2 linked regions of the Xenopus tropicalis genome follow. The protein of the gene in region 2 purifies or fractionates together with the protein of the main gene of each other region. This does not show direct contact. Links are inferred from orthologs where the notes say so. Each region holds a gene or a part of one and is shown on either strand. Other genes may lie near its edges. The genes, in order: flcn and fnip2.

Region 1 (4,253 bases), on a different chromosome or scaffold from region 2:
AGGTATAACTAAGGTTAATGGTACCTCCGTATGTGGTGTAGAACTGTGGCTTATGTATAATCAAGGTTAATGGTACCTCCATATGTGGTGTATAACTGTGGCTTATGTATAACTAAGGTTAATGGTACCTCCATATGTGGTGTATAACTGTGGCTTAGGTATAACTAAGGTAAATGGTACCTCCATATGTGGTGTAGAACTGTGGCTTATGTATAACCAAGGTTAATGGTACCTCCATATGTGGTGTATAACTGTGGCTTATGTATAACCAAGGTTAATGGTACCTCCATATGTGGTGTATAACTGTGGCTTATGTATAACTAAGGTTAATGGTACCTCCATATGTGGTGTATAACTATGGCTTATGGCACATGGGCCTTTTTGATTACCATGATTCATATGAATGGTGATTAAAAGGGTTGGATATGGTGGTGCATCCAAGGCAATACATCAATCGCTCAATACACTCTTGATGGCATTGGTTTAATATAACCATATCTGCCATTAACCACAGGCTAGAAAAACATGGGCAGCTTTCTCGTGGTCGGGCTGGCCCATTAGAGCACTGGGAGAAACCCCCAGTGGGCCCTGGACCTGTTGGGCCCACCGACACTGTGGTGTTTTTCTGGTGTATCGTTGGAGCGCTAGGGGACTAGAATGCACGGATGATTATATGCGGTTATTGGTAATTATCTGCGCTGATAGTGGTAACCAGTGTAAATACTGTTCCCCACTGAACTTACCTCACAACTCAGGCTGCGCACACAGGCCTGGCGCACAATGCTGAACAGCTGTGGGTGGTTGGGGTGTTGGTGGCTGACATATTTAATGGAAGTCTCTTTATCATGGCTGATGTACCCAGGATGCCCCGCAGCTAAGGACCTGCAACCCTGTGCAAAGAGAAAGGAGTCATATTAACTAACTGAACAGGAGTTCAGCCTGCTGTTGGTCACTCTCAGTAGAGGATTAATGGCTGCCATCCTTCTGATCTGGAATGAAAGGGAACAGGAAGAAGCAGATAGGATTTAACTTTCAAAACTGAGACCTCTCCCATTCAAATGGGCAGAGCTATGTGCTCCAAATTCCAGGAACACTTAGATCTTTAGGTTTCCAGGTACGGGGTCTAATACCTGTTTTCTTTTGGATTCTGCTCTCAAACAAACATAACAACACATATAAACGCTGAATTGCTCTTACCTCACACATATCCGACTTTTTGGGCCTGGGGCTGTTGGAGTCTGCACTTGCCCCCTCTGCAGGGCTGTGACATCGGATCCTGCTGCTCATCTGAATTCCCATCTCCTCATCTTCTGCTTGCTCTCCCTGCCCAATGCTGTCACCACAACTCGCCCCTTGGGGGTGCGGTGAATGAAGAGCCTCTGTGCAGAATAAAGTGCGGGGTCCATGGAGCTCACAGAAATGGCAGAGTGCCACAATGGCGTTCATGGTAATACCTGGAGATTCTTCAGCAGAAATACAAGTTCTATTTAAAACAAAAAGATGAGGATGTATAGTTAAGAAAGTTAGCAGTAAAGAGTAATCACACAATTGGTTGACAAAGCTAACTTTTAATCGGGCTGCTATTGGTTCTTTATAGGGACATTTCAACACAGACACAGTGGTGGATCCCCAAACACTTCATGGCAGACACTGTAGTGGCTTCCCAGCATTTCACCATAGACACAGTTTTGGCTCCCCAAACATTTCATGGCAAAAGCAGTGGCAACCCACACCCCAACAGTGCTCCCTGTCCTCTCATCTCCAGGGGGCTGTGCTCTATATAATGTGGGGGGTAATGTCACAGACTCATCTCACAAGGCTGGCCAACTGGCAATACAGGTAAATTTTTATTGGTTTTACAACATTACAAAACAAAAATACAAAACAGTGTTTAACATATTGACATTGGAATGGTGTCGAGTCAGGTTTAGGTCAATATAGACAAGGGTACTATTGCTAGGCATTGTAGTTGTCACAGTGTAGGTGGCTGTGTTTAGAGAGCCAAATTTTTTGCACTGGCTCACACGTGCATGAAACGAGTGAGCCTCCCCTGCACTGCATATCCCGCCCACGCCTGTGCCGTGTCTCCTGTAGCCCAAAGACCACCCCCTCCTGCTGATTTTTGCTACGGGCAATGAAATGCGATCACACTGTACGTGCAAGCCCGCACCTGGAAGAGCCAAATTCAAGGGGCTAAAGAGCCGCAGACTGCCCACCACTGGTCTTGTGGAAAGCAGTACAGCTGTGAGGTATGCTGACACCACAGGCACATTACATATAGTGAGAGGGAGTGGGTACTGACACCTCAGCCACATCATATACTGTAAGGCAGGGATCCCCAACCTTTATACTAGTGAGCCCCAGTCAAATGTAAAAAGACTTGGAGAGCAACACAAGCACCATAAAAGTTCATGGAGGTGCCAAATAAGGGCTAAGATTGGCTATTAGGGGCCTCTATGCACACTATCAGCTTACAGGGGCTTTATTTGGTAGGAAATCTTGTTTTTATTCAACCAAAACTTGCCCCCAAGTCAGGAATTCAAGGTTGGGGATCACTGCTGTAAGGCATAGTAGTTCCCAGCACCCCAATGTAATTAAAAGGCAGTAGAATATTAGGGTTAGTGTGCATTTGGCAGGATAAATGCTATACCAATTTCACTTATTATTCCCCCAGAAAACAGAGTGGGATAAACCCAGCTCCAAACTCATGTAGAATACCTAGGGTTGCCACCTGGCCAGTAAATATGAGGCTTGAAGCCAATGTTATTTATAGGAAGGCTGTTTTTTTTTCAGAAAAGATTGGCAACCCTAATAATACCCATAAGAATCTATGGTGGGTTAGATGCAATGATAACGTTATATATATGCCCTCAGTACATGTATTAGTATCAGTGTAGCCCCAACGGCAGGTACAATTCCCCCAACAAACGAATCAGAATGGAATTTATAATATTGTGCCATTGCCCGAGCCGAAAAGCCCCTACGGACCGGACCCTCATATACAGACCTGCCAGTCACGTCGCCATGTTTACATCACATGACAGGCGGAGACTTCCTTCTCTTTGGAAGATCGCATGTGCGGGAGTGGGGGGGGGAGCAGAAATGAATAATCCTGAGGCAGAGTCTTTGTAATATATATTAATAATAATTACGTCTTGAGGAGAAGGAACACGCAAGGGCTTTTTATGAGACGTGCACGGAATCAGTGATTAATGATTGGTTACGAAGGTGTGCACCCCTCTGGAGCAATGCCATGGTATGCTCCGGCCAGCAAGAGACTTGGCACAGTATCCCTCATGTGATGCTTGTCATGTGCTGCAGTTGGTCACTGCTCTGTCAGCGCCAAGCAACCCTATATCTTACTTACATATGGGTTAGCATAGGTATATCTGCCGGCCGGCACTAGTTCCCAGGGGCTTAGCCTCTCTGTCCCATGGAAATGTCTTTTTTAAATGTAAACTAGTTCACATAAATGTTAACATTAGATTGTGCCCTGAAATGCCTCTGTATCTGCTTAGAGCATAAGCAGCAAGTACTAAATGAAGAGGGGCTTATTACACAGGGCATCACCCTATTTCACCTCATTCCCTGTCACCAGTTCTGTTCCTCTATATTGTTGCTATTGGTGTCTAAATTCCCCTTCACTGAACAGGAGTGAAATACACTGGACTATATCCTAAGGGCTACTAAACTCCAGAAAATCCCCTGCCATAGACAATACTGAGAGTTACCTCTGCTAAAACACATGTAGAGTGTAAATGATCAGTAAATCATTAAATGATCAGAATTGTCTGTTTTAGTAGCCAGAACAAGTAGCTGCTACTAGTAGCTCTGTGTGTCTTCACCTTAAGGGCTGTGACACACGGGGAGATTAGTCGGCGCGCAACTAACCTTCCTTGTCGCGGGCGACTAATCTCCCTGAAATGCCATCCCACCGGCTAGAATGTAAATCGCCGGTGGGATGGCATGGCGATTTTGGCGCCGCGTATGCCATCCCACCAGCGATTTACATTCTAGCCGGTGGGATGGCATTTCGGGGAGATTAGTTGCCCGCGACAAGGACTAATCTCCCCATGTGCCATAGCCCAAAGAGCTGTGAGAGAGACAGTGATCAGAGACAGAGCCTAGCCATGTGACAGGCACACAGGACTGGATAAAGGATAGGTCACAAAGAAAGGTGGTAAAAAGAACATTTTCTAATTGGACTAATGATGTTAGTGGAGTACCTAATGACAGAATGTTATCACCCCCCA
Region 2 (3,827 bases):
CCGGGTCACTGACCCCAGCATCCAAAAACCTATTGCTTTTTGAAGCTAGAATGTAATTGTTGTTGCTACTTTTTATTTCTTACCGTTCTATTTAGACCTCTCCTATTAATGTTCCAGTTCCCCATTCAAACAACTGCCTGGTTGCTAGGGTAAATTGAACCTTCACAACCCTTGCTGCTAAAACTCCAAACTGGAGAGTTGCTGAATATAAAGCTTAATCATTCAAAACCACAATAACTGTGTGAGTTATTTAATAAAGCTCACTTGAGATAAAATACCTCAACCAACAAGGTTTTTTTTTCCCCAAACCAAAAGGCGATCAGTTCTAAATATGCCCCTTTGCATGTTTGGTGCAGGTTATTCTAAGGCTGGGTATACACACATCGATATAATTGTACAAGTTTTGTATGATTTTTGGACCATGTGTAGGCTCCGAATCATCATCCCAGCAAATTTTGTACCATGGCGATCGTTTGTCGTAAGAAAACTAAAATCTGAACATATAGTCAGCTTTAGATGTCATGCTAACGTGTGGCAAAACAGGAGAACTCACCAGTTACTGCCAATAGATGTGCTATGACATGCGATCCAGCTCCGAATGGCATCACCAAGCCATCTGTTTGTCCTTTGCATGGAACACCATCAAGGCAGAGTTTGAAATATACGTCTTTTATTATTCACATTAAAAACATCAAAAACCTGGAGGTTTTACTGGCATCCCCCAATAACCACAAGCTTGATGCTACCAGTTACAGGCAATGTTCCCTCTAAGGTGCGCGCTCGTGCACACATACACAAGCTTTGAGACCAGTGCATACAAGTTGTGGTGCGCACAAAGAATTTTGTGTGAAAACACAGGATTTTGTATTTATTCTGACCTGCGCACACAGTTTTTAAAAATCAGCACACAAAATCTGTACAGGTATGGGACCTGTTATCCAGAATGCTTGGGACTTGGAGTTTTCCGGATAAGGGACCTTTCTGTAATTTGGGTCTCCATACCCTAAGTCTGCTAAAAATCATTTAAGCATTAAATAAACCCAAAAGATTTTTTTTACCTCTAATAAGGATTAATTATATCTTAGTTGTTATCAAGTACAAGGTACTGTTTTATTATTACAGAGAAAAGGGAAATCATTTTTAAAAATGTGAATTATTTGTTTATAATGGAGTTTATAGGAGATGGTCTTCCTGTAATTCAGTACTTTCTGGATAACTGGTTTCTGGATAAAGAATCCCATACCTGTACACAACTGTAAAGGAATTAAAGGAAATTCTACAGTGGATCGTAGAAAAGTTACATGTTAACCGTGCCACCACTTTTTATGGAATTGAATGTATATAGCCCTATTTTATTTAACATGTACTATGCTGTGCACACATCAGTCTAAAATACTAACTGGGGTAGGAAGAGTGAAATCGTGCCATGATACCTGTTAATAGGGCCAGCCATAGGCTTGTCAGGTAAGCAGATGTCCTGTCAGGCAGTCACAAGGGAATTGAGTGGCTAGCAGTGGCTTGGCAGCGGCTACCTCACACCACATGCTGTATATGCTGACAAGAGGTGAACAGGGCAGGGTGCAGAGAGCGCTGTATTGTGATACAAAGCACTGTACAAGTGCAGCCGTCAGTCTGCTCAGCAGCTTTTTTGATACGGGTGGGGAGGTAGATGTAGTCATCTGATAGTCTTGTGCTTTGGAATAAACTTCCCATGGAAATGAGAACATTTACTACTGCAGGGATAGTCTGGTGCAGTCTGTGGGGCCATGTCCAGAACTGGTGGGAAATGAGGCTGCTTCATACAAGGTAGTATTTGTTATTGTTTATTGTTATTTCATCATTATTTATAGGGCACAGCAAAGAATGACATTACTGCAGCATCCAAAATTATGGAAATAAAAAGAAAATAATAATAATAAAAAAATGTACACAGGTACTGCTAATGCCAGTAGCGTTTCCTAATACCTGTACTGTACTTGTCCAACTGAAAGAAATGACACTTGGTGACACTCCCTAGAGCTTGTGATCAAACAATTTTACAGTTTGGGGTACAGAAAGGTTTAGGTTTTTGGATATTCCATTCAGACCTCCCTGATTTATCCAAGTGATTTCACAACTGAGTTAATGTAGAGATGGCATTATTATGATTATAGAAATCAAGCAACTAAAATGTATTTGATTATTTTTTGTTTGGGGGGGGTCCTCTGCATATTCACAGCAGTAAAGCTGTTACTTCCCCTCGTACAGCTAGGTTTTAGTCGCAGTGGGAAACTATGTTTCTGCATGTGACAGCATTGCTAGGGATGTTTCACAATCCTTCTGAAATTGAAATATTTAATCATTTCTATACACCTTACTCACTCTGGTGTGATTCCCACTTTAACATGATTGCTGATATTAGTAGCTGCATTCTATAGCATTGGGTTTGTAGCTGTATTAAATATAGTCATATAGTTCTAAGCATTTTAAATTTAGCAATACCTACTGGCTTTTGTGTTTTACTTTCTATATGTTCTGTTTAAATTAAAAACCGTATAAGGAACATACTGTAAGACTGCTTGTTTGTGGTCATGTTTTTGCCATCATTTTGGATGCTATATATATGTATATAAGATATACATAATGAAACAAGTTATGGAACCTATCTTTTCCAAGTGTGTTCAGGTGAACACTAAATAAACGTCCTACCAATCCTTCTGGCCATGAATTTGCACCAGTATGGGGAATTCTATATCTCTGGGGGCTTTCTGTATCTGTTTTTATATATAATGCTGAAAACGGTCTAGTATTATCAGTGGATTTTGTTTTGTTTTTTTTTACTTTTTTGGCAGTGTGCTATGGTATTTGTTTAGAAGTAAAGACTTAATCATAAAATCTGTATGAGACATATGTAATAGGTTAGTGGTTCTTGTGACTGTGAATCTTATGTTAGAAATAGTCATGGGAGTCAGAAACCAGCTATGCTGCAGCCACAGACTTAAACATGGACATATGCTCTTTTCATCACTCAGCAGTTTTACAGAATCTCAACCTTGGTTCATATGTAGAGACGTGCCCAACACATTGTGACTATCGCTTTATCTATATTACTGTCCACAGCTGGCCTTGTACGGATTTCGACTTGAATTGCATCCGCCTGATTGTTTACCAAGACTGTGAGAGAAGAGGCAGGCAAGTTCTGTTTGATTCTAAAGCTGTCCGGGAAATCAGAAATGAAAGTACGCAGGTAAGACTTTCTACCCTACGATGTTAAATCCACAGTCGGACAGTATCAGGAGTGCCTTTGCCACAATTCTGTTTAGTTTTTTTCATGTTTATATCTTTATAGCTGCTGAAAAAGGAATATTGTTTTCCTCCATGTATGGATACAAATGTCTTGTCTTTCTGTAATTAATTAGGCTCATTTGCATCTGCAAGTGCAGTGAACAAAGTGTATTTTCAAGCACAATTGCCATGTTTTTTCCCCACAATGCACAGTTTTCACCCAGAGTCATTGTAATGATTGCAGGTGATTTTCTTCCCACAATTGTGCTATGTCTACCATGGTTGCATCTGATTTGCCAAAATGGACACAACTGTGCATACACTTTGTTGCAAATCCAACGCAGTTGTGCCAAATATTTTCTGTCTGGCCTAGCGTCATTTTGTGTACACCGCTTCTGGTTCTGTCTTGACACTCATGGCCCAATAGTTGTGAGGCAACCCCTCACGATTTACTTTATTGCTGGTGAGAAAGTATTTGGAGGAGAGTAGTTGCCCATTGTAGGGGAGATTTATCGCGGGTGACTAATCTTGAATGCCATGAGCCTAGGCCTAAAGCCGGACAA

The links.
Region 1: the proteins of fnip2 (region 2) and flcn purify together in Homo sapiens (affinity purification with western blotting; 5 studies listed by BioGRID and IntAct, with this or other methods). This does not show direct contact. The link is inferred for Xenopus tropicalis from reciprocal best matches to the Homo sapiens genes FNIP2 and FLCN.

Annotation. Positions count from the first base shown.
Region 1 is NC_030685.2:15,782,463-15,786,715, reverse strand, and holds the start of flcn (folliculin), read right to left. Parts: upstream 3,022-4,253; 5' UTR 3,008-3,021; intron 1,484-3,007; 5' UTR 1,447-1,483; coding exon 1,198-1,446; intron 891-1,197; coding exon 744-890; intron 1-743. UniProt on the Homo sapiens protein: Multi-functional protein, involved in both the cellular response to amino acid availability and in the regulation of glycolysis.
Region 2 is NC_030677.2:52,883,594-52,887,420, reverse strand, and holds part of fnip2 (folliculin-interacting protein 2), read left to right. Parts: intron 1-3,099; coding exon 3,100-3,226; intron 3,227-3,827.